Notamacropus eugenii: one gene and its partners. The protein of the gene in region 1 interacts with the protein of each later gene in a pairwise test. Links are inferred from orthologs where the notes say so. Each region holds a gene or a part of one and is shown in the gene's direction. Other genes may lie near its edges. The genes, in order: STAT3, NFKBIZ, BLK and BMX.

Region 1 (7,831 bases):
CAAAATACTATCTCAGGCAATTTCTCCCTCAGGGACACAGCCTGCCCTGGCAACAATCATTATCTCCCTTCTTGCTATAGTAATCAGTTGCAACTATAGAATTCATTACTTTGAACTAGCTGTGTACTGAACTCCCTGTATGCTGGGTCATAATGACATTTACTACTCACTGACCAATCATGTATTCTAGATTTAACCATACCTGTACTCCCTTACATTAATCTTGTCTAACAACATATTGATGAGGGAAGTCTGGTTTTTCCTGGTCAGCCCTGACTGTTTTTTGACTTAATGATGTTTCAGGCCTAAAACCATACCTCTAGGTAGCCCCTCCTTGGGCTATTTCCCCATGAATTTTGGGTAAAATACTTGCACAGTAGATACCAAAAGTGCATGTTCCTTTAAAAACTGATCACTCCTTAACCACTCCCTAATCCCACCCCAAAACACCTACTTGGCATATTTGGCAAAATGATACTACAGAATATCCTACATAAACTTTCCCTGTATCCCTTTAATGTTGCAGGTTCTGTAAGAATGCTTGCCTTCTGAAAAGCATAATAAATCTTTACCTTGACTTCAACAATGCTTGAGTTCGTGAATTCTTCTTCTAACGACCTGCCCCTGGTACCCTGGTCTTTGTGGGGGTCTCACACCCCCTTTCCAGCCCTCATCAGTTCTATGAGTTTTTATAATTTGAGGACTTTGCTTTGATTTCATTTAATTCTGGAGGGGAAGAGGATGAGCAAAATTCTATGTTGATTACATACATGTGGGTATATTTTTTTTTTTACAACTAAAAATAATGCTTAAAACACAAGAGACTCATAAGCTCGTGCTAATAAATGCTTAAATGTTGAATCAACCTGTGATCTACTATACTCTTCCAATAAATGTACTTTATGTATTGTTGAGGAGATATTTTACTTTCCCCCATGATCTGTGCTATGTAATTCACAAATCTGGATCTCCTGGCTACCCTGAATTGTTTTAGTCCTTTCAGCTGCAATATCCTTCTGGAGTTTTCTCCTGGCCATATCTTCTCTATGCAGCATTGAAGATGTGGGAAACACCTACCAATGGACAACCAGCAACTACTTTTCCCTTGAACTTCTGAAGCATCTGTATTTCCAGGCTTTCTTTTCAGTCACCTGTGCTCAAGTGACTGACAAAACAGAAGTATCCAGGGACTTGAAGTCTAGTCTCAGGCACACCTAAGGAAACCTGAATTATGACTGACTAGTGCTCATGGTGTAGAGGAACTTGTGGGGGTGGGGAGAGAGAAATTATCTCATTTCACTGATCCAAAGAAAAGATGACTGAATCCCAGTGCCACAAGCTCAAATGAGAAAGGCAGGGAATATGTGGAATTGTTCTCAGCTCCTCTAAAAGCACAAATAGGGTATGGCTCCTCCTGGATCAGTTGGCAATACTCTTTGTCATATTCTAGTTATGGAAACCAAGGAACCAGTCATTGTGACTGTGAAACACTTGTCCTTTAGCCAGGAGAGGAAGCACTTAACCATGATCAGGAGGGAACAACTTGGCCAACATTGTGTTCTAGTCCCCACTACCCCCTTACATTTACATTTCATTGAATTTAAGCTTCCTATTTGTTATCTCTTACTGTAAGAGACACATGTTCCTTCGTGACCATACATTTCTTGTATGATATCCCAATGATGTAAAGGATTTTGTTGGAAAGAAGTATAACCAGAAAAGAAGGTGTGTTGGTCATGTTGCAAGAGCCAAAGGTAGCCAACCAGCCAGCCTTCCTGCTCTTGTAGGTTTCCACACCATTTCTTCTTTTAAAATGTAAAAAACAAAAAATTCTCCCACTCTCCCCCATAGGGGGAAAACTTTCTCTTTTATGTAAATGTTAAGCATAGTCAAAACACATTTCTGAATGAATGGGGTGGGGGGGAGCATGTGCAAAGAGAGCATCATGCTAAGTGCCTGGAATACAAATGGTAAAGTAACAGTTCCTACACTCGAGGAGTTAACATTCTAATGTCTCTATTACTAAGGTTTAAAAATGTGTATGTTAGTCCCATCCCTGTTTTGTCAGGAGGTGGGTATGGCGCATTTTTCTTTTTTCTTTTTTTTTGAAATCAGGAAAGCTTTTATTAATCTTTATGTCCATTCCCCCTGAATGGACAGGTAGCTTCCCCAGTGAGGTTACAGGAAGACTACAACATGTCTAGGAAGATGGGTCTTCTTTTACTGTTTTGTGCACTTTGGATCTCCCGAGATACTGTCCCCTGGCCATGTGACTCCATGTTCTCCTCTCTGATAGGCCCTTCCTCACACAGCTCCTTGGGCCTGTGCATTAGTTTCTGACTTCTAACCTGTCCATGCTAGGTCACAACCCTTATCACCTAGGAATGTGAACAACAGAACTTTCTTACTTCCCATAAAATCCTCCCTCTTTCTTTATTAAAATTTCTATTTCCACACCTAAATTCAATCAATAAATACCTCCTCACATTCTTTCCTCTATGAATTTTTCCCTTCATCTATCCCCCTTTATATGAATATAGAAAGGGAGCAAAGTTGACCAATGCATTGACAAATTACAAGGGGGCAGTCCCCTTGTTATAAATACAGATACAGAGATTCAAAAGGAAAAGGTAGATCAATGAATTGTCCATTCGGAGGTTCCATCTCATACAGTCGTCTGGGGAGAAACATCATCTGATGCAGTTTTCTGGTCTGGGTGCTTCTTCAAGCAGTCTTCAGCACAGCATATCTGCATCTTCTTCCCATATCTTCTTGTAGAAATCCAGATGTTCACTCTCCTACAAAACTGACCTTGATACAATTTTAGATGACCATTCCTAAGCTTTATACACTTATCACTCCTACAAAATCAAAATTGGAACTTTGGCCAATTGTCATATTTAAGAAATCCACATCAGAACTAGCATTTACACCTTACATTAATTCATTATTCATTTTCTCCATCAGAAAGATGAGATTTCCCTAAGGAGTCAATAACAGGGTCCAATACTTAACATAAATACAATAAATAATCATTTTTAACACAGTACATATCACATCATAAAACAATTCCAACTTCTGGTCATGTGATGCTTCTTTTAAAGCATTTACCATATAGACCACAAACCATTTTTCTTTTAACATTAACCAACTGAGACAAAATAATAACTATGTATCCTAACCTTGACCTGATTGTCTCCACACTATTAATAAGAATTAAAGGACCCTAACTTATTGTTGTTGGTCTGAAGTCCTAAGCCTAGTAGCTTAATTTTTGACTTAACCTCAGATATTCCCCTACCAACAATCTATTATTTAATAGATCTGGTATTAAGCTTACAAAACTTTTGATTACAGGAAATTGCCACTAAGAGTAGGGACATTGCAGGGAAACGATATCTCCCCAACTTCATGTCAATGCCAGGCAGGAAGGAGTAGGTTGGGTATGGCACATTTTTCATTATCAGTCCTCTGGAATACCATTTAACCGTTGCTTTGAACAGCATTACTCAATTTGAGAGTTTTCAAGCTTGACATGTTGGGCAGATTTCCTATGGAGGATTTAATAGAAAACAAGGACCAAAGTTGAACAAAATGAGATGAAGAATGGATCCAGACCAGCATGGTTGGAGAGAGTACTACATCTCACAAGTACAGGCTGACCCACAAGTCTTGGTGTAGTTTTAATCCTTAAACTCTTGGGACACCTTACATGGTCCCTCTTATAGAAGGGGAAAAAACATTAATTATTGGCTGAAGTAGGTAGTTCTTTCTGTTGGGTGTAGTAGTTACATTGAGCCTAAGAAAGGTCAAGGTTACACTTTAACTCAGGCCTCCGGACTGTTTTCACTGAAAATTATCTGTGCCTTTGAGCACTAGCAAGTCTCTAAGACAGGTATCGGCTCCTCTATGTGTGGAAGCTCTTTTGGCAGACAATGCCAACAAGGATGGTTGAGCAAACACGTCAGAAGATGACATTAAATAATGTCATTCTAGTGCACAGGGCTCAACACCGACACTGGCTACTGTGTAGCGCTATCCAAGGTCAAGTGCAAAGCGGTCTGGGGTCTTCAGAAGACTGGACGGGGAAATCGGACTACCGAGTCTCTCTCCCTCGACTCGTTTTTATCCTTCTTGTATGTATGCGTCATGTCTTTCCTCATTTCCGTGAGTGGGGCTGAGGGTGTTGCTCGCATGCAATGCCCAGTGTCGCACAGCAGCCTGTAGGCGGACAAGGACTGTGCCACATGTTTCTCGTTCTCCCCAGCCCTGGGACTTGGCCCTTCCCGCTGGCACTGAGTGCCCCGAGGAGGGGTGGAGTGTGAGGGGGTCTGCTAGACGGCTCCATTCCCAAGTGGCTCCCTCGGTCTTTTCCACCCTCGTCTAGCACCTGGCAGTTCCAGAGGTCCGGGGTAGGGTGGGGGTGGGGTGAGGGGAGGAGGGAGCCGCACTAGGGGCATTTAAAGTGCCTTTGACGTCACGCCTTGCCAGGAACTCAGCTGAGTTTTCAGCAGTACATTCCCGTCATCTTCCCTCCCTCCCTCCGGGGCTTCCTCGGCCTTAGCCCTTGCTGTTCCTGCTGCTCCGGCGGGAGGGGCAGCGCCACCTAGGGAACAGCCCGCACGGGGGCGTCCCCCTCCATACGTCACTTATTCTGCATAATTTATCTGGTCGGTGTTTGCTCATTGGTTCTAGGGGCGGGGTTCCTGATGCATAATTAATCGACTCAGGACTCTGAGTGGCCGAGGCGGCTGGGGGCCTCATGAATTATGCTTTAGGGGCGGGTCTTGGCTGGCAGGGATCCTAGTGGCGATTGGTTGGGTGGCTTGTTACTCAGCCGTTTCCGGAGCAGCGGCGGTAGCGGCGAAGGAGGAGTGGGTTTCGACGTTAAACTGAGAAGGGTCCCCGGGAGCCCGAACCCCGGCCAGAAGACGTAACCCCCCCCACATCCGGGTCCCGCCGCCTCCAGCTCCGGGTCTCGGGTTACGGTTGAGCGGAGGCAGTTTAGGAGCCACCTCGCCGCCTGCACGGCCTGAAGGGACTAGGCACTTGGCCTGCATCTTGGGCCACTCCAGCAGCGGGGCCGCAGGGCCTGTCACAGGCCGCAGCTCCGGGACCAGGTGAGGGGCGGGGCGCCCGGAAAGGGAGAGAGGCCTCACTTTCTCCTTCCTTCCCCTCCACTGCTGTCCCCCCTGGGGAGACAGACCTTCCTCCCTCCCCCCCTTTCGTTACCCTCCGCCTACTCCTTCTGAGGGAGATAGTCCCCCCTCCTCCATTTCTCCTTCCCCACATCATCCCGGGGGTAGAGAGTGCTCCTCCCTCCTCCCCTCCTCTCTCTGTCTTCGCCTACTTCTGTTCCCCCTAGAGCGAATCCTCCCTTCTCTCCTCCTTCCTTCCCCTCCTGGGGAGATATTCCTCCCCCTTCCCTCCCCCTCTTCCCGTCACTCCCAGAGAGTCCTCCTTCTTCCCGTTCACCTTCCTCACATCATCCCTGGAGACAATACTCCTTTCCCCGATTCTCCTTCCCATCTCCCTCTTCCCTCTTGGAGTAGCCAGGCTTCCCCGGCATTCTCCCTTTAACATGCCCCCGTGGAGAGATCTCTGCGTCTTTTTCTCTAAGCAAAGTCAGGGCTTCCCCATTATTTGCCCTCCTCTTGGCCTCCAAGGAGAAAAAGCTTCCCCACCTGCCCCCAAAGAAAAACAGACTACCTTATCACTCTTCCTCCCAGAGGAGAGACCCCTTTCTTTGCAGTCAATCAAGAAACATTTATTAAGCACCTACTCTTTCCCAGACACTGTGCTAAGCCATTTTCTCCTTCAATAAAAGACTGTCAGTATTCTCTCCTTACCATTTCTTTTCATGGGAAAACAGTCCTACCTCCTCCCCTCTAATGAAAGAGTTTTTTTCCCCTACCCATCTTTCCTTTCTCCTCTTCTGTCATTCTTTAAGTGAAGACAATTCTTCTTCCCAGTGGCATTCTATCTTCCTTACCCTTCTCTTCAAGGGAGTTATCAGAGAAATGCCTGGGGAATCTAGAGTTGAGAGATGATTCCCATGGCTATATTCCTTGTTTCTGTTCTATATAGGCAATCATGTTGCCTTGGATCCAGGTGGGATTGAGGGATGATAGCCAGGGATGGTGGAAAGAATGCTTGATTTACAATCAGACATATAGGTAGGTGTTAATGGGAATTAGAACTAGATAGATCCAGAGAAATGATCTAGTCCATCTCTAGGATTTGACAGACATAGTAGCTGAAGACCAGAGATGTTAAATGCCTTCCCCAGTATCATATAGGTAATAAAGGTCAGTCAATATTTGACTTTAGGTGCCTTGGTTTTCTTGCCTTTAGAATAAAAGGCTCAGACTAAAGTGAGAAACTGGTGTGATGTAACAGAAAGAGGGCTGGACTTGGAGTTAGGAAAAACAGGCTCAAATCCTGGTTTTGAGACTTAGTATCTGTGTGACTAGAGTTAATCTTGGTTTCCTCATCCATAAAAATGTAGATAATACTTTTACTCCCCCTTTACAATCTGTAGTGAGGACAGTCCTTAGTGAATCTTAAAACATCATATAAATATTGCTCTGTCATTTCATCATCTCTAAGGCTCTAAATCTCATCCTACTTTTTGGTAAGAAAATATGAAATTATTGAGTTGCATGGACATTAATTTTCCTTTTGTGCTCTCCCCCCACTCCCCGTAATTGGGTAGACATAAATGGCTTTTCAGAGACTCTTCCTAAATTCCTCCCCATGTTTTTTGTCTGGTTATTAGCTAGATTTTATATACAAACAAATAGCTTCAGAGAAATGTAATACGTCCCTTAGGTGCTTTCCCTCTCCAATTTGTTGTTCATTTAAAAAAAAACCTGATAAAGGAGGACAGAAGATAAATAATTGAACCATTGCACTTATTGGATTGTGGTGTTGCTTAATTGTACAGGTCAGAGTGAAGTAATAACAAGTGGGAGTATTCTGTCTCAGGGCCAAGATCTTGGGTAAATGCAGAAGAAAAGGGAAACAAAGACTAGCAAGACCTCTTGGTGAAAACTTGTGCATAAACTTAAATGATATTTGATATGTGTGGCTTAAAATGGGGCACACTTTGCACAACTAAGCATTGCTCAGGTTGCCTTTAATGTCTGTTACTTGTTGTGTTAGCTCTATTGTTCTATTAAGTAGATATGTGGTTATAGATTTAGTCTGTCATTTTCCTTCCCCTCACTTATATAACATATTTAGGGTACTTCTTATCCTTTATGTATGCTGAGAAGTAATCGGTTGTCTTACCTGTAAAGAATATACACAATTCACGATTGGTCATTATCATGTGAATAATACAAAACTGAATGAACAAAAAGGCTTTTTCTGTGAGTGTTTAACCTGCTCATCAGTATTAAAGTTACTTCTCATTTCTTTAAGAGCCTCAGAGAGCTAGCATGCAGCCATATCAGAGTGTGCATCTTAAATATAATAATGGATTTCAAAACGGAAAACAAGAAGACAAAAAAGTCATCAAATTATAGGGGTAAGAGCTGAAAGGGACCTTAGAGAAGCTTTAGATAAACTTTCTTATTTTACACACAAGGAAACTGAGGTTCAGAGATATTAAATGGCTTGACCAAGGTCACGTAGGTAATCATGACCTAAATGTCATTGTGCTAGGGTGAGTTGTGGTCTGAGCTCTGGGGTCTCCTCACAGAATCTGTAATAGTAAATAGCAGACCTGGAATTGGAACCCAAGTCTTCTCTCTCTAGACCTAGTACTCTGTTCTGTTATAATTATAAATACCTCCTCAGGTATGTAGCTACTCAAACCTGCTGTTTA
Region 2 (8,005 bases), on another chromosome or scaffold:
GATTACATTCTTCTTTCTTTGTCTAATTCCACATATACCACAGTTTTGAGACATTACCTTTTTATAAGCTAACTAGAACTTTGGGAGGAAAATACCTTTTTTTCAGGGAGAGGAGGGGGAGAAGTTAATTTTGAATATCAAAAATATCTTTAATTATGAGTAAAGAGAAGATTTAGTGGGGATGTGACAGCTTTCTTTCTGTAGATGAAGGAGGAATAGATATATTGTCCTTGGTCCCAGAAGGGCAGAATTAGGAACAATAGATGCAAAGAGACAAATTTACATTTAATATAAAATTAATATAAATTTAATAAAAGTAATTTAATAAATAATAATTACAAATATCAATATATCATTATTATTCAAATAATCATATAATTAATTGAATAATGACTAATTGAATGAACGATTGAATAATACATGAATTAATAATAAATAATTAATTTAATTAAATATAAAATTTATATAAAATAACATAAAATTTGCTGACAATTAGAACTGCCTAACAGTGGAATGGGCCACCTCTTGGGGGACAGAAGGTTCCCTGTCACTAAAAGTCTTTGAGAAAAAGCCAGATAATCCCTTATAGAGTCTGTAGATGGGATTCATGTTCAGGAATAGGTTAGCCCAACTGACTGAGTTGGCCTATTATATTATATATAATGTGTTAATGGGAAAACAATTAAAAATGAAAGTATTATGTCTTATTTGGCTTCTTTATGGGCTTTTAATTTGTTTTGTTTCTTAGGCTAACAATATATAAATATAAAATATATGTTTGATGAATGCTATTGAAATTTATATTGAAGTCTACTATAGTAGCTTAATAAAATTATGCAATACTTTTTTTTTATATTTTGTATTTTACATGTATCTGATTCAGATTTTTACCAAATTGGACAAGAATTGGGGGTGGGGAAGTAGGAAGGAGTCATGAAAGCAATAAGATGAAGAACATGAGAAATGAGGAAATACTGGATGTCCCAAAAGTCTTAGTGCAATTAAATTATCCTATATTTACCCTACAAAAATTACATTCTGTTCTTTTAAGAGACACTTCCCATACAGTTACATAGAATGACAGCTTGAATGAGGGTCATTTGTAGCTCCAAGTTCTATGACATGGGGTTTTTCTCAGAATAATTTTGAGAAATTTGTGGTGCAAGTATTTTTATCCTCATTTTACAGATATGGAAACTACAGTGGGTGAAATAATTTCTTCATGCTAATACACTTAACTCATGTCAGAAATGGGACTCAAACCCAGGAATGTCTGATTTCAAGTCCAGTACTTTTTTTTTTTTTCAGGATGCTTCATAGTTTATAAATCATTGCTGTCACTTTATCATTATTTACTGGCTACTGACTCACCACTCTATTGAAGCTGCTTTTAATCACCTCTTAATGGCTATTATGATGGCCTCAGTCTTCTTGACCAACATATTATTGTGTTGTCTACTTCTGGACACTCTCCCTCCTCTTGGTTTCTGTGAGATTGTTCTCTCCTAGGCCTTATCCTACCTCTTGACACTTCTCCCCTGCTAACATTGCTGATTTATCTTCCACTCTCTAAATATAAAGATTTTATTTTCTTCCCAGTCCTGTTGTTTCTTTCTGGACTTGAAAACCTTGAGCCTTCTAATGCAGACTCATCCTGGAACCTCCTTGCCCTGAACCAAACTACAACTTCACCCTGGAATATTCATCCCCCACTGTAAAACCTGACCCATCTCTCCATTCCCCCTTTTCTCCCTTTGGTGAGTTCTTTCTGGAGTCTCCCATTTTGTGGAAGGGCCTAGGCCCAACTGCCTTCATTCCCCTCCCAGGCTTGCTCCTGACTTCCTGGCCTTCAAAACCATACCCTGCCCATGGTACTTTCATTTCCCTTCTATCTGATTTGTAAACTATTTGGCACAATGTCTGGCATACTGTTGGAGCTTAATAAATGCTTGTTCCTTCCCTCTTTCTTTTGTATGTTTCCTTCTGCTCATTAGAATGTAGTTCTTTGAGGGCATAGACTATCTTTCATTTTGCTATTGTATCCTCAGTGATTAGCCCAGTTCTTGACACAAGGTAAGTACTTAATAAATGCTTTTTTTGTCCCTTCCTCCCTCTAACCCTCTCTACTCTTCTTCCTTCCTTCCCTCCCCCCTTCCTTTCTCCCTTCTTTTCTTCCTTCCTTTCTCTCATTCTTCTTTTCTTCCTTCCTTCCTGCTTCTTTCCTTCTTTTTCTAAACATAAAGATTCCATAAGACTTGGACCTTACCTCTCTATGTGAAAGTTCTTAACCTGAGGTCTATGAACTTTTAAAAAAATATATTTTACTAACTATTTCAGCATAATAAGTTTTTATTATAATCCTATTCATTTTATTGTATGTGAATGTGATCCAACTCCCAAAGCCTGTTAATAAGGGAAGATCAGTGCCCTGTACCTATATGAAGGGTAGGGTGGAAGTAGGAGTTGGCATTGTCCATCTTCTCTCTTGAAGCTGGAAGCCTGAAGTTCTGGAAGCAACTAACAAGCCCAAAGAGAATCAAGAGACTCAAAGACACTGAAGAGACTCACTCTACTCTCTCCCACTCTTATCACCTCTACCTCCACCTTTACTTTCACACAGGTCCTTGGGCACTGATCTCCATCAGTGAAGAGAGAGTCCCAAACCAACAGACTTTGGGGACTTGGATTACTCATTTAAAACATTATTCCCAATTCCACCATGTTCATCCACTAAAACTCAGAGAACTTAGTTCTTCCCATGAATAAAGGATAGATAGCAAATGAGGACAAAACTCAAATGGTATTAAGATAAATAAATTAGTTAAAAGTCCCAAAAAACCAACACTTTTCTAAGAAGGGGTCCAGATACTTCGCCAGACTGCCAAAGGGGTCCACAACCCAAAAAAGTTTCAGGACCCCTGCTCTCTATATTCTCATTTTTCTCTCTGCCTTTCTATACCTGTCTCCTTGTCTGTCTCTCCCTCTGTCTGCTCATCTCTTTCTTTCTGCTTCTCTCTCCCTTGTTAATCTCATCATCTCCTAAGACTCCAAAGATTACTTCTGTGAAGATGGTTCCCATCCAGCCTCAAACTTTCTCATTCCAATCCAGTAAACATTTACTGAGTGCCTACTATTTTCTAGATACTGTGTTGCTCAGTGGGGACACAAAGACAAATAGAAAAAAATTATCACTTCCCTTTAGGAATTTATAATCTGAATTTCCACATGGCTGCTGGGCAGCTCTACCAGTATGTTCTTCTGGTACCTCAAGTTTAGTAGGTCTAAAATTGAACCCCTCCCCCTAACCTGTTCATCCAGGATCAAAACTTTTAACTTTTCTTTTCCACCTCCCTCCCTCAAATGAGATATTTGTAAAGTGCTTAACACAGTGCCTGACACATACGAGGTGCGATAAAAATGCTTATTCCATTGCCTTTCCCTTCATCTTGTCAGTAGCTGAATCCTGTTGATTCTATTTTCACATCTTTCCTCTTCTTTTTTATTCAGACCACCATCTCCTTAGTGTAGGCTCTCATCACCTCTGACCTTGACTATTGTACTAGACATTGAGGCCATGCCATGCCCCCTACCCCCCAAAACAAAAATAAAAAATACAACTGATCTTTCTAGGATCAACCTTCTTTCCAGGCTTTATTCCAAATTGTTCTTTCCTTTAATCACTGTACATCACAACCAGCTTCTACGGGTCTCTTCCTCATTGGGTCCCCCTTTTTCCCTCCATGCATTCCTGCAGACTGTCTCTAATGGCCTGAGGACTCTACCTCTTCACTGTCAGGTACTGAAATTTTTTCTTCTTTTCACTATTGCCCAGTTCAGGTACCATATTCTCCATGAGTCTTTTCTGGTCTCTCCAGGAATTGTCCCTTGTCTTTGCCACACTATACCTATACTGGATGGACTTGTGTAGGTGTCTTGGTAGGTTAATTCCTCAAAAGTAAGGACTTTGTTACGGCCTAGCCATCAATCGAAGGAAAAAAGCATTTATTAAGCTCTTGAGGGTGCCTGACCCAGGGCTGAGCATGAAGTCAAACAACAGTCCTTGCTCCCAAGAAACTCACTTTCTAATGGGAGAGTCAGCAAGTAAATAACGAGGTAAATACGAGATTTGTGGAGTAGTTGGTAGATAATCTCTGTAAGGAAGGGCCAAGCCCAGGGTGGCATAAGGGTAGGGAGCTTGCGAGGTCTGCAGGGAGGAAGGCCTTAGTCTCGGGTGGGGGCCTGGGAAAATGAGTCCCGTGGCAGGTGGGATTTGATCTGAGACTTGGAGGAAATCTCTAAAACTAAGAGGCAGAGGGGAGGGAGGAGGGACCAGCACGTTCCGAGCCTGGCCAAAGGAAACGGAGTGCCTGGCACAGGGCAGGAGCTCAGGGAGTGCCCAGGAATGGCGGAGGGCAGGGTCTGATTCGCGGGGCCAGCTGTTCCGAGCACTCGGCTTCCCCTCTCCCAGGGCCGCCGGGCTGCAGGAGGGAAAATCGGGCCGCTCTTCTGTAAACGGCTCTGCCCAGTTCCCGCTTTGGGACTTGGTGCCAAGTTCGAGGAGGGGGGCGCATTTGGAGCCTAGGGAAGGGACCGAAGAGTGGGGGAGGGGGCGAGGGGTGGAGAGCGGGTGCGCGGGACGCCCGGAGCCAGGTGGAGGTCAAAGTCAAGGTCGGCTGGGAGCTGGAAACCGACCTAGGCCAGGAGGAGCCCGGCTGGGCGAGGCCCCGACGGGGCGGGGGAAGGGAGGGACGAGGGCGGAGGGGAGCATTGCCTCATCCTGTACATTTTACTGGAAACCTGCTGTGCATCCGGAGGAGGAGCCGCCGGGCTGTCGTCCTGCCGCGGCCGCCCAATAGGCAGGCTCTTGTGCGCGCGCGGGCTGCCCCTCACCCCCTTCCCCGGCCCCCGCCCGCCTATAAACCGGGGACTTGTTGGCCGCGCCCAGCCGAGCTGAATTCGTCTAGGTGGGTGCGCCGGGGCTGATTTGAGCGTGGACCCTGCCAGCGACCAGCGCAGCCCGAGTCCGTGTCCCTCGTCCCACTGGTGCGGGGAGCAGTGCGTGGGAGAGTGGTTAGTGGGGGGGCGCAGCCGGAGCGACTCGTGGTCTGCCCGCGAGCATGATCGTGGACAAGCTCCAGGAGGACAGCCGGGGCGGGGAAGGCCTGCTGGACTGCGCGGCCGGCGAGGGGGGCCTCATGACCAGCCCCCTCAACCTGGCCTATTTCTACGGGGGGTCGCCCCCGTCCGCGGCCGTGGGGGCGAGCGATGCCAGCTTCTTGTCCTCCAGCCACTCGACGCCGGGCTCCCCCGGCTCGGACTCCTCCGATTTTTCCTCCTCTTCTTCGGTCTCCTCGGCTTCCTCCTTAAGCGCCCCCGGAGAGCCCCGGGCCAGAGGGGGCCCCCGCGCGGACCGTGTGCCAGGTAGCCGGTGGCCCCTCGCGCGTGACTTTGGGGTGCGGGGCGTTCCGCGGGCACGGGTTGCTCGAGAGCGAGGGGAGGCGGAGGGGGTGGTGGAGCAGTGTACTTGGCGTCAACTTTAGCGATCCGTAATGGTTTAGCTTCCGCTGACTTCGGGGGAGACCGAGGACGTGAGTGGCCGTTTTCTTTGGGGGAGGGATCAGAAATTCTGCTGGAGTGATTGGTGTCTGTGAGGGTCTTTTGTTCTAATTGTCATAAAAACATCCAAGTGCAACGTTAGGAAACCGTGAAGAACGAAATTATGAAGGAGTGTGCAGTGATTCACACTACATTTGTGGCGTAATTATGGCAAATCGGAGGCATTCTTTCCTGAAGAATTATGTCCTGACTTAGCAGTGATTTAAGCAGTTCTGTTTCTCTTAATCACGGGTCAGATAAAGAGCAGGTTTCCCCCTACCCGACAGACTCATCGGAATAAGCCAGTCCAGCTTTCCCTTTGTTTGCTTAGTGCAGCTGGTTGGGTTTTTGTTTGTGTTTTTTGTTTTTGAGGAGGGAGGCCAGGAGGAGGTGGCAATTATGCCTTCTAGGAGAATTAAAGATGTCATATCAGTCTTAGTGTTTGTAATCCTTTTAAAAAATGGCTGGTCAGTTTCTTACAAACTTGTTTGGGGCGTTTTCTCACTCCCAGCCTTCCCTCCCCGACTGGTTGGCTTTATCATTTTTTTGAATGTGCCAAATTTTTCACCTGGAAGTCTTGTTTTTAAAACCATTCATTGGACTTTTATTATGGCTACTCAATAAATGTCAACTAGTGAGATCGTATAGTTTTTAAATCGGAAGAGAATCCTGGAGATTATCTAGTCCAGTGCCCTCATTGTACAGATGAGTAAACTGAGGTTCACTGGAATGTGGAAAGGCCAGTGTCCAAATTGGGATATCTAGTGCATAGGAGGAGTGACTCTTTGGGTTATGGAATTTAGGGTCTTTTTCTTGACTGTGTCTGGGTCAAGCCATTTGGCTAGTTTGCTTTTTCAGTTATTTTTTCTTTCCATTTTTGGCTACTGTCATGCCTTGGTGTGCCTTAGTCTATACAACTTTTCATATCAGATTTTGTGTGTAAAACTTTTTGTGGCATTTCAAAGCTTAACAGAGCAATTTATGAACTTCATTTACCCCCTTCCAATCCTCTCTTCTTTCCTTCCTTTCCCCTCTCCCTTCTTCAAATCAAGGGCCTAAAACATTCCACTTCCTGGCTTTTTTGGCTTGTTTATTTAATGAACAACAGATCTAAGAGGTTACGACACAAGTGGTCATAAGTGGAACGCTGAACTCATCTTCTCTGTTTCTAACATTGTCAAGTTTTGGCTCAAGTTCCAAAACAACAGCTTATTTCCTTTTTACTAGGAAGACCAGGAGATGATTCTGAAAATTTTTTTAAGTGGGGAAATCCTCAAAGGTGTTTTAAAAAAAAATATTAGTTCACAAAACTAAAGTTTTTGTAAATTGAGATTACTGGAAAAAGTTGATTTTTGCCTTGTAGGGTGGAAATACCAGACCTTTTAATCTCTAGAAGAATATAAACCCTTTGTTTAAAGAATCCATGGAGAATTAACTAATAAAATTGCTTAATCCTTATAGCAAGCTCATGTGGTAAGGGGATAACCAACTTTATTCCTGTTTTATAGAGTTAGCAGATAGACACAATGTACTTTTTCTCAGACAACTTAGATCTGGTGTTGTCACCACCCTTTTTTGTGAAGAAAGAACAATTTTAAAAATTTCCTCAAAATTTTGAGATTATGTGTGTGTTTGGGGGTGATGTGTGGTGGTTTAGAGTCAGGGGCTAACAATAATAATAGCTGTATTTACAAAAAGCTTTTTAAGTATTGAAGTATGTATATAGATGTGTGTGTATATACATCCATATGCGTACACTCTGTGTGTGTGTGTGTGTGTGTGTGTGTGTGTGTGTGTGTGTAAGTAAGTGTGTAAATAAATGCTCATTTCATCTCTATAAGAACCTTGTGAGGTAGACAACTGTTACTATCTCCATTTTATGGATGAGGAGACTGATTGGCTTAGGATTTTAGTGGACTTTGCCCACGGTCACATAACTAGTAAGTATTTGCTGCCTGTGGAGTCCTTGGGAAGTCAGGGGACATTTTCAGAGAAGGGCTTCACGGCAATCGCTTCAAGACAAATCAGTAGGTAGGCCCTGAATCCAGACCAATGGTTTGCTGTAGCTGTTGGTTTCAAACAGGAGCCCAGAAGAATGTCTCCCAATGGTCTGTTGCCTTTTCTAAATTCCTAATGGGGAATGGCTAATTCAGTTGGAAGAGACAAATATCCTCTCCCCCCCTCCCCCAAAAAAATGAAAGAAAAGAAAAGGTATACCAGTAGGTATTGCTCCCCATTAGACATTATTTGATAATAATCTTGGAGGGCATTTAGATTTGTGTTTTTTAAGTTGTATAAACTCAAATATAGTTTCTTTATTTCATAAGCAGGTGACCACCATATGGCTGGTGGAAGGCAACAGAGAGGACCCTTTCAAGGTGTTCGTGTGAGAAATTCAGTGAAGGAACTC
Region 3 (7,162 bases), on another chromosome or scaffold:
TATATCTTAAGCCTAGAATTTTCTACTCCCCCACCTCCATCTTTTAACTTCTCTGGTTCTCTCAAAGTTCTCATCTCCAGTTCCATTAATTCAGCACACCTTTCCTTGTCTACTCAGCTATTAGCACCCACCTTTCTTAAATTACCTTCCAATACTCTATATACAACTTGTATGAATATAGTTAAACAGGCTCTTCCCCTTTTAGAAAGTAAGCTTCTTGAGGGCAGGGTCTATATTTGCTTTTCTTTGAATTCCTAGCACTTAATAAAGCCTAGTTCACAGTATACATTCAATACAAAACTCATTGACAGACTTAATGAAGAAGATTCTATTGGAGAAGGAGGTCAGAAGGAGAAGGGAAGAGAGAAAACTAAGTAAATGAGAGGTACAGGAACAAAGAGGAGAGAAAATTTGTCATCTGAGTTTGCCTATTTCCTATTAGTAATAATGTATAGAAACAATTCAAGTCTTGCCCCTAGAGCATACTGTCTGTAGCCTGTAGACACTTAACCTCTCTCAGCTGTATGTTGCCTGTTTGTATTAAAGGATTTTTTCCACTAGGATTTGTTGTCTACACCAAAGACACCATAGATCTGGGGGGAAAATGTGAGATATACACCTTCCCCAATTCAGCATTTGTGGCTTATCAACTATAGTTATACAATTCTTATTGGGTGTGATATATTTGAGATAGCTTTTCCTTTTGTGAATTTTCAGGATCCTAATCACCCACATGGGAAATTTTGTCTAAAATGAACAGTTTTCCAAATAAAAAAATCATGCAATTGAACTGCATCAATAAGACTTAAACTCCTGGGTCCAGCAATTAATTATGATATGTCACAATGTTTATGTTCTATTTTTCTGGGATGTAGGCCCAATGGAAATAACCATTTTACACTTTCCTATCTTTAGAACACTTCTTAGCTTCTGTATCCACCTTCAGAGTTCTCTCTGGGACATCAGGTCTCGAGCCCCCAACAATACATCTCTGTGCCAGACCATGCCAAATGACACATGAATTCAAAAGCAAAAGGCATTTAATTAAGCTGAATAGCAAAGGAATATAAACCAATGGCTATCACCTACTATGCCTTCAAGTGAACACTGGCCAACACCCTACATAAATCTTCTGTGTCTTTAAAACAGTGAGAAAGGAACATAGTTACTTGAAACTCATGGCACTGGTTTCCAAGTTTAGAGTATAAAAGCTTTCTGTCTAAATCAGCTTCTTTTTCAATCCCAGCAGGCAAAAGAGTGCTAATCTCTCAAGTCTGAATGAACACTGAAGCTTTACAGCTTTTGGAGCCACGATCCCAGTCCAAATGGGATGTTAGAGTTCAAGTTGCTGTGTTCAAATCCATATTAAGTTTTTTTTTTCCCATATGGCTGTCTTTTCATTTGCTCTAGTCTCTACTTCTATGAAGGAAAGAACCTTTGTTTCCTTTAAAGGAAAGCATTTATTAAATACCCGCTATGCATCAGGTACCATGTGAAATGATGAGGACACAAATACAGTCATCCCTTCCATGTCGTGATTTTCCCCATCATGGTTTTGATATATCGTGGGTCAGCATAAGAAACTAAATGGGAATTTTTTGGGAGTTTTGCAGAAGCCACAGACAACACATGAAAGTCAACAGATAACACTGAGGAAGTTTAGAAACTCAGAAATGCATAAAATATATGTATACTATTATGTAATATAGCCTTTAACCAAATACTTAACCCAAATCTCACAATAAGGTGCTGTAAACACCCCATAAATGAAAAAGAAAAAAAAATTCAGACTTCTTCTGAAGTCTGTAAGGGAGGGCCAAAAAATTTTATGTGGATTTTCCAGATTGTGGTGCCATGCTCTGAACCTCTAGGATGTAAAAGGGATAACTACAAGTAAAAAGAAAGACAATTCCTGCTCTCAAGGATCTTTTTCTCAGGAGTGATTTATCAGTCCCTTAACCTCTTTGGCTCTCAAATTCTTCATTTATAAAAAGAAGAGGTTAGGTTAGATCTCTTGGGTCTCTCTCATGTCTAAAAACAAATGATTCTAATTTCAGATTGTAGAGAGAATTGTGGGTGGGGTATTTGGTGATTAGGGTGGTTATACATCACTAGATAAAGCTACAATGGGGATGTGGTGGGTGTCAAGAGGATAGTCGAACAGAAAAGGTGAAGGCTGTACAAATAAAGGAGTTGGGTCTAGTTTCACATTCCATTATCTCCCAGGAAACTCCCCAATTTCTTACTGGGGAACCCCCACTCCCACCCTAAAAGATGTCATGGGAAGTGAGATGTGGTATCTAGGAGCGGAGTTGTTTCATTTTATGAAGTTAGATTCCACAAATTTGAAAAATCTTACTTATAAAGATATCTCTTGGTTCCTCAATCTGGGCTTCTTGATACTCAGAGTTGTCCCAAAGGGAAATGGGTGTTTGTAGAAGAAATGATCCTGTATATCTTTGCTGCTGCAATCTTCCTCATGGTTTGTACGTAAAGTAGGATACCATATGACATCTGTATTCTGAAGCAGCTAAGTGGCACAATGGATAGAGTGCTGGGCCTGGAGTCAGGAAGACCTGAATTCAAATCTGGCCTTAGGCGCTTGGTAGTTGTGTGACCTTGCATAAGTCACTTAGTCTTTTTTTTTTTTTACCTCAGTTTCCTCTACTGTAAAACAGGGATAATAATAGCACCTACTTTGCAGGGTTGTTGTGAAGACCAAATGGAATAATATTTGTAAAGTGCTTAACAAAGTGCTTGTCACATAGTAGATATTGTATAAATGCTTATGCCCTTCTCTTCCTCTCTAACATAATAATTTGATATTATATAGAGCCTTCCTGCATATTAACTGATCAGCAAGTATTTATTAAGTATATACCGTGTGTGTGTGTGTGTGCGCGTGTGTGCACGTGTATACACTAAGTATATACTGTGCAAGGCATTAAGGCTACACAGACAAAAGGGAAATATTCTCTGCCTTCAAGGAGCTTATATTCTAATGGGGGCAGGAATATATTCTTGTATAAGTATGCACAGATGATATAAAAATAAATAAAAGAAAATCTGAGGATGAAAGGCATTAGTAGTTTAGAGTAGGGAGTATAAGGAAAAATTTCTGTAGGAGGTGGCGCTTGAGCTGAGCTTTGAAGGAAATAAAAGAAGAGGGGTAACCTAAAAATAGGGCCCATAAGGAAAAGATAAAGGGACTGGAATTATTGACTTAGAGAAACAAAGGATGAAAAAATACCTAACAACTTTTAAAATATAAGATTTTTAATTGATCACTTAATGGAAATCATATCCATGTATGTTCATGTGTAGTATTATTATTGTTATTTCTAATATTAATGATAATGCAAGATAGAAAAAAATTGTTACCTCTTCTGTTGCATTGGGAACTCCTTGAATGGAATGGAATTGAGCTCATTTAAAATGAACTGAATTAGACAAAATGGGTTTAATCTTTAATGGTGAGAATTTAGCTAAGGCATAAAAAAGAACTTTGATTTTGAGCTCCTAAGTGTATCTGAGGTTTGGTGGTGGAGCGCATGCTGGTTTCTGTAACCCATCCAACACTGAGGAACAAGAAGCAACCTTCAGGAACCATCTCAACAGCAGCTGAAAAAAGGTACATCAGGCAGCAAGTTGTATTTGAATGGTACCATTGCTAGGTAGAAACTGTTATTTGGACCTCCTCTCTCTAGAGACTAGTGTCATAAAGGAGATTGTACCCCTGAAATGTTGAAATAGGGGAGAAATGTTTGTGCTTCTGTTGTTGCCATGTCTTCAAAGTAAATATCTCTTTGTAAAAGGACTTTTTCAGCCATCCAACTGGTTTAAAAAGGCTGACAATTCTCTGATCTGGGTTGACCATTACATAGAGTTTTGCCACAAGATTAAGCAGAGCCCATCAAAAACAAGCTATAGAATCAATCCCAAGAATTCTGCACTGTGGTTCCCCAATAACTGAGATGAAATTAGTCCTAGATGATGCCATCAAAGACTCAGGAAATGTCCACCTCACTATGCTGAAGTCCCATGAGGATGTTTTGATATCATGACACAAACTCGTTTGGGGTTTAAAAAATGACAATGCCTGGCATTTCCACCTCCTCATGAGAAAAGGGGCTTAGAGGGATTTTTAGTTCACTAAACTTCTTGTGAAACTAAGAAGTACTTTTAGCTGTGTGAGCCACGTGACTTCTGAAACCACTTTTTGTGCCTGGAAGGCTCAGCATAATAGTTCAACTGGAAGAGTCCCTGAGCCACTTCAACCCTGAATTTGCCCCTTGGGTATAGCTGGGCAAAGCTCTGATCCCAGAGTCTGTCGGTGAGGTAGGCAACCAAGAGGCAGCCTGAAATGAGACACATTTTTTTTCATGGACATGCGATTTCTTTAGGATTTAATTCAATCTACCAAGGACTGTTTCAGCCATAAGGGCTTCCTCCAAAAGGGTGACCATCAGGACTTAAAGGACTATGCTGTGAAACCTTGCCGAGGTAAAGACCTAAGTTGTTTGCTTTTCATTTTCAGCTGTATGCCTAACATTTAATTAATTGTGTTTATCATTATGACTTGATTTGGATGGTTTGCTCTGAGTTTTTTCAGTTTTTTTGGAGAGGTATTTGGGAAAATATTATGATTATTATGGATATTGAAAATTAAATAATGTAGTCACTACTGCTGCGGTCAATGGATTACAAATGATTGATTTTCTTTTTGTTTATTTGTTTGGGATTTTTTTAGGGAGGAGCCCAGATCTGTGATTTTCATCAATATAGGGAACTTCCAGCTTGGAAATTCCTTCCACTGATACAGACAAGCAAACTTATCTGTAATTTATAGTCTTAGCCGCCTAGGGCACTATGAAAATAACATGATTTGGCCAACATCATACAAGCGGTACGTGTTGGAAGCAGGACTTGACTCTGTTCTCTCTGACTCTATGGATGACCCTCTAGCAATTAAGCTTGGTAGTTTCATGATTTTTTTTTTAAACCTATCTCAGGTGGTTTTAAAAATCTGAGGGTAAGAAAATCTGAACAGTAAGAAACTGATTCCATCTATGGATAAAAATCTAGAGAATGAAGAAGTAGGAGATGTCTCTGCCAGAATTTCTTCTTTGAAAGTAAAGATCAATGGGGGGAAAAAGAAAAAAAATGTATATTTTGAAATTGCCTTTTGCTCCAATGCCTCATCTGCTACTTGGCTGTTTTCTCTTCTACTCTTTACTTAATTCTTTATATATACAACTAGATCGATTTGTTGGGAGTGGTTTTGTTATTGGGTTACCTCTTTTTGGAAGTTCTTTGTAGTTGTGAATAATTCCTTTCGGGGAGAATCTCAGGTCTAATGTCCAAAGAAGGTATTAATGGATAATCCTGGACCATGGGAGGTTCCAAGACTTCTACTTTTTAATGACTCTCCTTGGAATACTACTTTTGGGCCTTAGCCTGGTCTATGGTAACTTTAGAATATAACCAGGTACTATGTAACCCAGTGTTAAGCACTGGAACTATAAAGAAGGACAAAAAACAGTGCATAACTTCAGTAAGTACACATTTTAAAGGAGGAAACAACATAATTAGATGCATGCAAGATCTATACAGAATAGATGGAAGGTAATTTGAGACAGAAGGCACTAACAGCTAGGAGGACTGGGAAATGCCTTCTGCAGAAGATAGGATTTGCCTTGAGTCTTAAAGAAAGCCTGGGAAGCTAAGAAGGGAAAGTGAGGAGGGAGAGTAGTCCAGGCTTGAACAAGCCAATGGGCTTTCTCCCTCTGACAGCTGAGGTCTGATGTTAGCTTGGTGTCCAGGGCTTTGGACACTAACAAAGCTCATCATTAGCAGAAGTTATAACTGAAGCAAAGTGACTCACCCTTCAGAAAGATGAGTCAGGGCACTGGCTGGAATTAGAAGTCTCCGCCAAGCTCACATCGTATTGCTCAGTCACAAAAGTCAAACCGTAGGTTTAGGCAATGAAGGGTAAGGGCTTCTGTGAACCAGTTACTTCTGAGATAAGACTGGGCATGGAGGAAGTATGATACACATACTTGAAAGAGCAAACATCTGGTTGGGGTGATAACGTTAGACTGAGGAAGCTAAAAACCTGACCGAGAAGTGAAAGTCTACAGAGATTTCAAGCAGTTAGGGCCTGATTAGCATTAGCTGAAAATATGTTTGCTTAAGGGAAGAAGGATGGAGAAACCTGGGTGATTCCAGTGATTTCCAACCATCCCATCTAATTCCAGTGATTTCTGGAGCTCAAAAATACACTAGCCCTTGACCTCAGAATCCCAGGGGAAAAAAAAGGTGTGTCTCTGAGTTGATATTAAATATAGAATGTGATCGATCCCTTTCACTATCTCAGTTGCTTCCTGCTCATTTTTCCCATCTGTGTTAAGCAAACACACAGTCAGGAATAAAAATAGTACTGTGAAAACTCATAAAGAATAGGGAATTAGAAATGAAGCCATGCTAGAGGAATCAGATAAAGAAAACCCAAGCAAACTAATGCATGCATGAAAAAGCATGTACTAAGCTTCACTACATGCCAAGCTTTAATACAACTAGATGAAAATAGAAAATCAAGACATTCCCTCCCCACTCTCAACAACTGCACCTTCTAATTGAAAATGGAGGGGTCATCTATAAGGCAGATGGGAAGGCTCAATAGTAATGCTGTTTATGATTAGGGCAGATGGCAAAGCCTGATTACCCTTTAGGGCACAGTAACACGGCAGATGGAAATAAGAAACGTGTATTATTGTTGTTAATCAAAGTATTCCTAGTTCTGTGGATAAATGTGACTTGTTAATGATATACATGTGATTGCAGTGATCCATTATTTTTCTCTTTTCTAGACCCTTAAAAGTGGGGCTGTTTTTCCTCTGCAATTCTCTAATTTCTAAGGCTTCCCTCTACTAGTCAATCTTCACTGACCAGACCCTCTGCCTAATTCACTAGAGTCTCTTTCTAAACAGGGTCAACCTTTGGCAAAATTAGTAAGTAGCATAATTTTCTTGTGATGAAATCAAATATAATAACTTACATTAAGTGCTTTGCAAATCTTCAAATGATATCTAAATGCTAACTATTCTCATTATTTTCCTTTGGTACTTCCCCACCTCGTTTTTTGTAATCCTATCTCTTTAAG
Region 4 (7,163 bases), on another chromosome or scaffold:
GTGCAGCTGTTTTCATAAACACTTCTAGGGACCTGTACATTTTCACCTCTTCCAAGGTGATATGATCAAAGGAGAGGTGTTTATTCCTCTCCTGGCCTGTTTTCTGGTCTGTGAGTGACCTCAAGCATTCTTTTCTGCCTTGGAACTGTGAGGAGGATTCTCTCTCCACTGCCACCACAAGCTCCACCATACAAGCACTTCTCCTCACCCCAGGACTGCCCCTCAGGACTATGACCCAGATCCAGGCATGGGCAAAGCAAGAGAATCCTGCCTCAGCACAAGCAAAGAGATTCCTGCAATTCTGCTCTGATCAGTTGCTCTATCCCCCCACCATCTGTGGGCCAAGAATTGTGGATGCAGCCATTGCTGCTGCTGCTGCAGACCACCACCACCTTGTGTGGTGGGCCAGATTGCATTCCTCTTTCTCCCAGCTCTGATAGATTTCTCCTACTGACTTTCTAAGTTGTCTTTGGTGTTTTTGGGTTGAGAAGTCTGGAAACTGCCACAGCTGCAAGTGATTCAGTGTCCTAAGCCCTGTTCTGGTCTTGTCTGGGTCGCATAGCTCATGCTAGACTGTATTCTTCTCTCAGATTGGTGCAACAGACCTTTCGTTTTGACCTTCCAGGTTGTCATGGACTGGAAATTTGTTTCTCTCTGTGATTTTATGGGTTCTGCTGCTCTGGAATTTATTTAGAGTCATTTTTACAGGTCTTTGGAGGAGTCTGGGGGAGAGCTCAAGCAAGTCCCTGCTTTTACTCCACCATCTTGACTCTACCCCCAAAATAGCTTTCTTCTTTATTCTTTGTGACAAGAGATGGTTTGCAAGGTAGAGTGTCAGAAACAATATATTTTGAAATAAAGATGAGGCAAAAATAAGTGGTATTAATAAAACACTAAAAAATAAAGATAACTTCAGTACAACACAATACAATATTGTAGTACAGTGGTTAGAGTGCCAGTACTGGCACCAGAAGTCTTGAGTTTGAATCTGGCCTCAGACATTGAGCTGTGTAACTGGGCAAGTCACTTAACCTCTGTCTACCTTAGTTTTCCCATCTGTAAAGCAAGAATCATAATTTATCTGCCTTGCAGGCTCGTTGCTAGGATCAAATGAGATAATAATTGCAAAATGTTTAGCACAGTGCCTGCCACAGAGTAAGTGCTATATAAAGGCTACCTGCTATTATTATTGTTGTTGTTAATAGATGGGTAAAATTCCTACTCATTCTTAAAGTCTTTTTTTTTTTCAGTTGTCTCTGACTCTTTGTGAACCTCATTTGGGTTTTCCTTGGCAAGGATACTTGAGTAATTTGTCATTTCCTTCTCCAGTTCATTTTCCAGATGAGGAACTGAGGCAAACAGGGTTAAGTGACTTGCCAGGGGTCACACTGCTAGTAAGTGTCTGAGGCCAGATTTGAACTCAGGAAGAGGAATTTTCCTAAATCTAGGTCCAGTGCCCTATACACTGTGCCACGTAGCTGCCTACTCTTTTTTTTTAAATTTAGTATTTTATTTTTCCCCAGTTACATGTAAAAACAATTTTTAACTTTTGTTATTAAAACAAATTATCTCCCTTCCTCCCTTGCCCCCCATTGAAAAGGCAAGTAGATCTAAGTTATACATGTGTAGTCATGCAAATCATACTCATAATAGTCATATTGTGAAAGAAAACATAGACAAAAAAACTCAAGAAAAATAAAGCTAAAAAAGTATTCTTCAGTCTGTATTCAGACATTATCAGTTCTTTATCTAGGGGTAGATAGCGTTCTTCATCCTAAGTCTTTCAGACATGTCTTGGATTGCTGGATTGCTGAGAATAGCTAAGCCACTCACAGTTGATCATTTCACAATATTGCTGTTACTTTGTACAGAGTACATTTCACTTTGTATCAGCCATTCCAGTCGTTCTAGGCTTTTTGGAGAGCATCTTACTCATCATGTCTTATAGTACAATAGTATTCCATCATAATCACATACCACAACTTGTTCAGCCATTCCCTAATTGACGGGTATCCCCTCAGGTTCTACTTCTTAGCTGCCCTACTCTTGAAAGACTGCTTCAAATGTCATTTCACTTATGAGAGCCTTACTGATCCTCTCTGAACAGTAATGACTCGCTTCCCCACAGCACTCCCCACCCAGTCAAAGACGTGACTTGGGTTTAGACCTATAAGGCACCGTAGAGATTGGTTAGTCTAAACCCCTGGTTTTACAACTGAGAACACAGAAGTTACATGACTTGCCCAAAGTCACACAGGTAGTAAGTAGCAATCCAGGATTCCACTGACTCCAAATCTGGGGCTCTTGCCACTATACCAATTATATATGATGTAATATTTGGTAAATACATATTTATAAATTTTACATATATATAAATTACATATATAGAGGAAAATATTACATATATAAAAATATTACATATATATTTACTAGAAAAGGTAATGCTGCTTACCATCTAGAAGGTAGATATGACGTATATATGTATATATATATACACACACACACATAAATGTATGCTATATAAATACGTTATAGAAACAAACATAAGCAATGTGTATATGCTGTATAAATAAATATAGATATATGTACGTGTATACATGTATGTAAGCACTTACACATGCATATTGTATATTATCCCACCACACATAAACATTTATATATATTATACGCATTTATATATTATATATACATGTATGTCATATCTGTGTTCTAGATGTTAAGCAGCAGCTTTGCCTTTTCTAAATTTTCTTTCTCCTCCAGCACCAAGCACAGTTTAGTGCTTGATATATTCGTGTGGATTCTAATTGAATCAAATTATCCCAAATATGGATTGGAATCTAGAGTTGAGTCAACAGTGACATTTGGAACTTTTGCCTCCCAATGTAGTTCTGAAGCTACACTCTAGACTTGTTGGAATGAAAAGGATTAAGTAACTAGCCATTTAAAATAGTGTTACAACATGTGCCAAATGAATGATTTCTTTCCTTGGCTGCTCCCCCCTGTGCCCAAAAGGTGTTATGAGTAGTATCAGTGTGAGTGTTTTTACTTACGTCACCAAAACATTAGATTCTAAGACAACTATAGGCTGCATGATAATTACAGTGGTGAGAGATCTGACTTCTAAGTGACAACAACCTGGCTTCAAGACCCATCTGTTACAGGCACTGACTATGTGATTCTGAGCAAGTAACTCAGAGCCGCAGACAACTCCCTAAGACTATAAGTTACAGAGACTGTTTAGTAGAGGAAGTTCCTACACTGATGACATTACAGCTCTAGTCAGAAAACAAACTCGAAAAGAAATTATAAGATGAGCAAAGAAAAGTTGTAACAATGACATGATTCCATGATAAGAATGGTATGGTTACATGTTCCCCCAACCATTCATGGATATGCCCTATAATGTTGGTATACAACAAAAAACTAGAGAAAGGTATGTCCCCAGTTGTATTACTCAGTGCTCCAAACTATAGAAATATATTCCTTATGTGGGCAGCTAAGTGGCATAGTGGATAGAGTGCTGAGCCTGGTCAGGAAGACTCATCTTTCTGAGTTCCAATCTGACCTCAGACACTTCCTGGCTGTATGACCCTGGGCAAGTCACTTAACCCTATTTGCCACAGTTTCTTCATCTGTAAAATGATATCAAAAAATATCAAACCATTCCAGTACCTTTGCCAAGAAAACCACAAATAGGGTTATGAAAAGTGGAACACCACTGAAAACAACTGAACTGAATAACAACAAATGTCTTTAATCTGTCTACTCTACTTTATCTGTCCAAGTCTTGAGTTAACACTTACTGCTTATTCTCTGAGCTCTTTGGTCTTACCTAACTGCTTCCTGACTTGTATGTCAATGTCAGAAAGGGAGTTTTTGCCTAGATATTTTATTGTTCTTTTCATAAAAATGCTACATAAACAAAGGCAAGGCTGTTGAACTTTATTCAGTCATTCTACTCCCTCCCCAAACAGCCCTGTTACCTCTCTAAATTTAAATCTTTATAAAATGTGCTTTTACTTCTATTTTTGTTGAGTTCAATCAAATCAGCAAGCATTGGCCAAGTGTTGAGTGTGGTTTCCTGTAGGATTGTGTAAAGTCCTGCAGAACAATATTCACTTGGGGTGACTGAGTAATGTGGTTATTTCAGGCCTCCCAGTCAAAGAAACATGAGGAAGCCAGCTGGGACACGACAAAGGTGATCACTGCTTGTTTTCTTTCAACAATTATTGGATTATTCTGATTGGAATGGATTCCAATAAAATGGAGCCATCAGAAATGGTATGTAGCAGAGGTTGGTGGCAATGAAGTGTCTTTTATACAGGAACTTGGTAGAGTTCAAATTCTGGCTCAAGAGAGAGGTCAGCTGATGCTTGTACTGGCCTGAATTAAGTTTAGTGATAAATAAGTTTGGGATTTGCATTCTCTTTTCTGTTTTGTTCTGCTGGTTGTTTTTATTTTCTTTCTCAAACATACACCTTCTAACAGCTTCTGAAAGAAAAATGTCTCCTTATTTTCCCAGTGCTTTTTGTTAGATTGCTAACTTCTATAAATTGGTGAGTGTTTTCTTTTCTTTTTTTTAATACTGACTTTCTCTGTATGTGTGTGGTTTGTTATTTGATTTGTTTAGGGATTTTTTTTCCTAACGTTTGTTTTTAGTGGGGAGGAGAAAGAGAAAGAGGACAGTGGTTATGAAAATGAACCAGTCACGTGGCACGGTACAGAGGAAAATCATTGACTCTGAAATCAGGAAAATTGGTTCTGAATCATTCCTTGGAATTTCTTTCCCTTCCAGGCCTCTGTTTAAAATTGGGGAACTTAAAGTTCTCCAATATTACTTACCCATTTATAGAATTTATGAAGCGAAAGCAGCTCTGTGACCAAATAGATATTGTTTTTTCCTCATTGGATGTCTCTAACTAGTGATAAAAATATTGCGTTCTTAAAGCATTGGCTTAGCTATGACTTGACTGTTCAAGAGGCTTTAGTGGTTCCTCACTGCCAACAAGAGCAAATACATGCTACCGTATTTGACATTTAAATCCCTTCAAATCTGATATTCCTAGGAAGTACAAGGAATTAAATTAAAGAAGGGATTTTCATGTTGTTGTGTGTAAACTTTGTAACATAAAATAAAACATGTAGGATAGCAAAACCAATTACATAACTGATTTCAGTCAGCAAAAGATTTATATTTTTAAAAACAAAATGGCAGACCCCAGGTGAAGAACCTTTGAAATTAAAGGCATTCATCCTGAGGTATTAAGTGGATCACCATCTTCTACTTTTCTCCTTGACAAGGAAGACCAAAAGTAAAATCCCTTGATATTTGGGGGGGAAGAAAAGGGAGCAGGAGAGGACAGTGGTTTTAAAAGAAGGAAAAGTCTCAAAAGGGGAAGTAAAGTTGCTGAACAGGAACTTCAAGTACATCCCAATTTTGCCCAGGCCCACTCTAATTACTATAAGAAAGGAATTGGGTTTTGCCTTTTATATAAGAAAACAGATCTCCAAAGTAGTTGGTTCTCTAATAATAATAGCTAGAATTTGTATAATTCTTTAAGGTTTGCAAAGCCTTATTCATACACTGGATTTTCACCACCTATCTATCAGATTTATCCATCTGATTTATCTATCTTTTATCTCTCTGATCTATCTGTCCATCTGATTTTATCCTTGTAACAATCATGTGAAGGTCATCTCCATTTTTCAGCTGAGGAAACTGAGGCAAACAAGTGATGTGTCCAGGGTCACACAGCTATTAGATATCTAAGTTTGAATTTGAGCTCAGGGCTTCCTGACTCCAAGTCTAGCCCTCTTACCCCTTGTACCACCTACCTACCTCAATAAGTTGATAAGCAGAGAGTTAATTCGGGGCCAGTTGTATCAAGTAGCAGGAGGTTGGGCTGAAAAGTTAATATCTGTCAATATCTCATTTTCTTACTCCCAGTGCCTCTGTGATCTCATCTATGGGGGTGCTTCCCACATCAGAGTGCATTCACATCTGTTCCTCCTATCCCCTTCTTGTACTTAGTCTCCTATGGATTCTACAGAATATATTCTGCCACCAAGCTGGAAGACTTGTTTTATCTAATGGTTTCTGGGTACCAGTTCAGTACTAGGACTGCCTATCTGTTGTCCTTTCTGATTGCTGCTGACTTTTTCAGTTTTATGCTTTACAAATGATGATTCTTGGACCATTTCTTATGGATAGGTTATTTCAGGAAATCGGTCTTTGACTACGTATGTTCCCCTGAACCCTCCCCCACAATGGTCTGAATCTTCCTTTGTGTCACCTGCATTGATGGGGTGAGGAGGGGGGTAGAGGAAACACCACATGTTTTCCTCAAGGCTGTCCAGTTACCTTTCTTTTTTTAAATTTTATTTTAGACTCAAATACCAGAACAAAAATATAGAATAGAGAAAAGAAACAAAAATATATCATAAACTTAAATATTGGAACTTAAACACAAAGTAAGAAAGGAGAGGAAAAACATGTCATCTACATAGCAGCACATAAGAGAGGATTCAAAATATGTGACAGTAATGCTTCCATTTATTCAATTCTGGCACCAGGCTATTGTCCATCTGCCGCACATTACATAAACACTTCTGTTATCTACATCTTTAGTACAATGTAGGCATTATGTCATTATCATGCCGAGCACAATTGTCGCTTTTCTCTCTAGTACCTGATAGCATCCAATAATAGAATGCAGTTAGGGAGGAAAAACATTAAGAATGCTTGCGACAGCTTCTTTGTAAAAAATAATAATAGTGTTTATTTATAGAATGCTTTAAGGTTTGCAAAGCACTTTACAATGATTATCTTATTTGATCCTTACAACCCTGAGAGGTGGGTGCTATTATTATCCCTATTTAAGAGGAATCTGAGGCGCATAGATTTCAGCTAGTAGGTGTCTGAGGTTATATTTGAATTCAGAACTTCTTCCTTACCGACGTGTTGTCTTCACTGAGTGGTCTGAAAGACAAGTATAATTTAGAGGAGAGGAGCTCTGAATTTAGAACAAAAGCCATAGCTAGCTATGGCTTTGCACCAGGGTGTTGAATTTAAAGGGTCCTGACATTCCTTGCATGCCTTCAGAAGCTAGAAAAACTGAAGTTAGCACCAACTTACCAAGAATAATTAATTAATATAGGAAACT

The links.
Region 2: the proteins of STAT3 (region 1) and NFKBIZ interact in a two-hybrid assay, tested with the Homo sapiens proteins (2 studies listed by BioGRID and IntAct). The link is inferred for Notamacropus eugenii from reciprocal best matches to the Homo sapiens genes STAT3 and NFKBIZ.
Region 3: the proteins of STAT3 (region 1) and BLK interact in binary tests that used the Homo sapiens proteins (3 or more experiments, as listed by UniProt). The link is inferred for Notamacropus eugenii from reciprocal best matches to the Homo sapiens genes STAT3 and BLK.
Region 4: the proteins of STAT3 (region 1) and BMX interact in binary tests that used the Homo sapiens proteins (3 or more experiments, as listed by UniProt). The link is inferred for Notamacropus eugenii from reciprocal best matches to the Homo sapiens genes STAT3 and BMX.

What each region holds. Positions count from the first base shown.
Region 1 is NC_092873.1:358,862,097-358,869,927, reverse strand, and holds the start of STAT3 (signal transducer and activator of transcription 3), read left to right. Parts: upstream 1-4,828; 5' UTR 4,829-5,120; intron 5,121-7,831. UniProt on the Homo sapiens protein: Signal transducer and transcription activator that mediates cellular responses to interleukins, KITLG/SCF, LEP and other growth factors. Once activated, recruits coactivators, such as NCOA1 or MED1, to the promoter region of the target gene.
Region 2 is NC_092876.1:368,225,728-368,233,732, reverse strand, and holds the start of NFKBIZ (NF-kappa-B inhibitor zeta), read left to right. Parts: upstream 1-4,997; 5' UTR 4,998-5,117; coding exon 5,118-5,421; intron 5,422-7,627; exon of another isoform or gene 7,628-7,763; intron 7,764-7,922; coding exon 7,923-8,005. UniProt on the Homo sapiens protein: Involved in regulation of NF-kappa-B transcription factor complexes. Inhibits NF-kappa-B activity without affecting its nuclear translocation upon stimulation.
Region 3 is NC_092872.1:576,936,383-576,943,544, reverse strand, and holds the start of BLK (tyrosine-protein kinase Blk), read left to right. Parts: upstream 1-4,152; 5' UTR 4,153-4,503; intron 4,504-7,162. UniProt on the Homo sapiens protein: Non-receptor tyrosine kinase involved in B-lymphocyte development, differentiation and signaling. B-cell receptor (BCR) signaling requires a tight regulation of several protein tyrosine kinases and phosphatases, and associated coreceptors.
Region 4 is NC_092876.1:374,584,391-374,591,553, reverse strand, and holds the start of BMX (cytoplasmic tyrosine-protein kinase BMX), read left to right. Parts: upstream 1-4,152; 5' UTR 4,153-4,248; coding exon 4,249-4,281; intron 4,282-7,163. UniProt on the Homo sapiens protein: Non-receptor tyrosine kinase that plays central but diverse modulatory roles in various signaling processes involved in the regulation of actin reorganization, cell migration, cell proliferation and survival, cell adhesion, and apoptosis.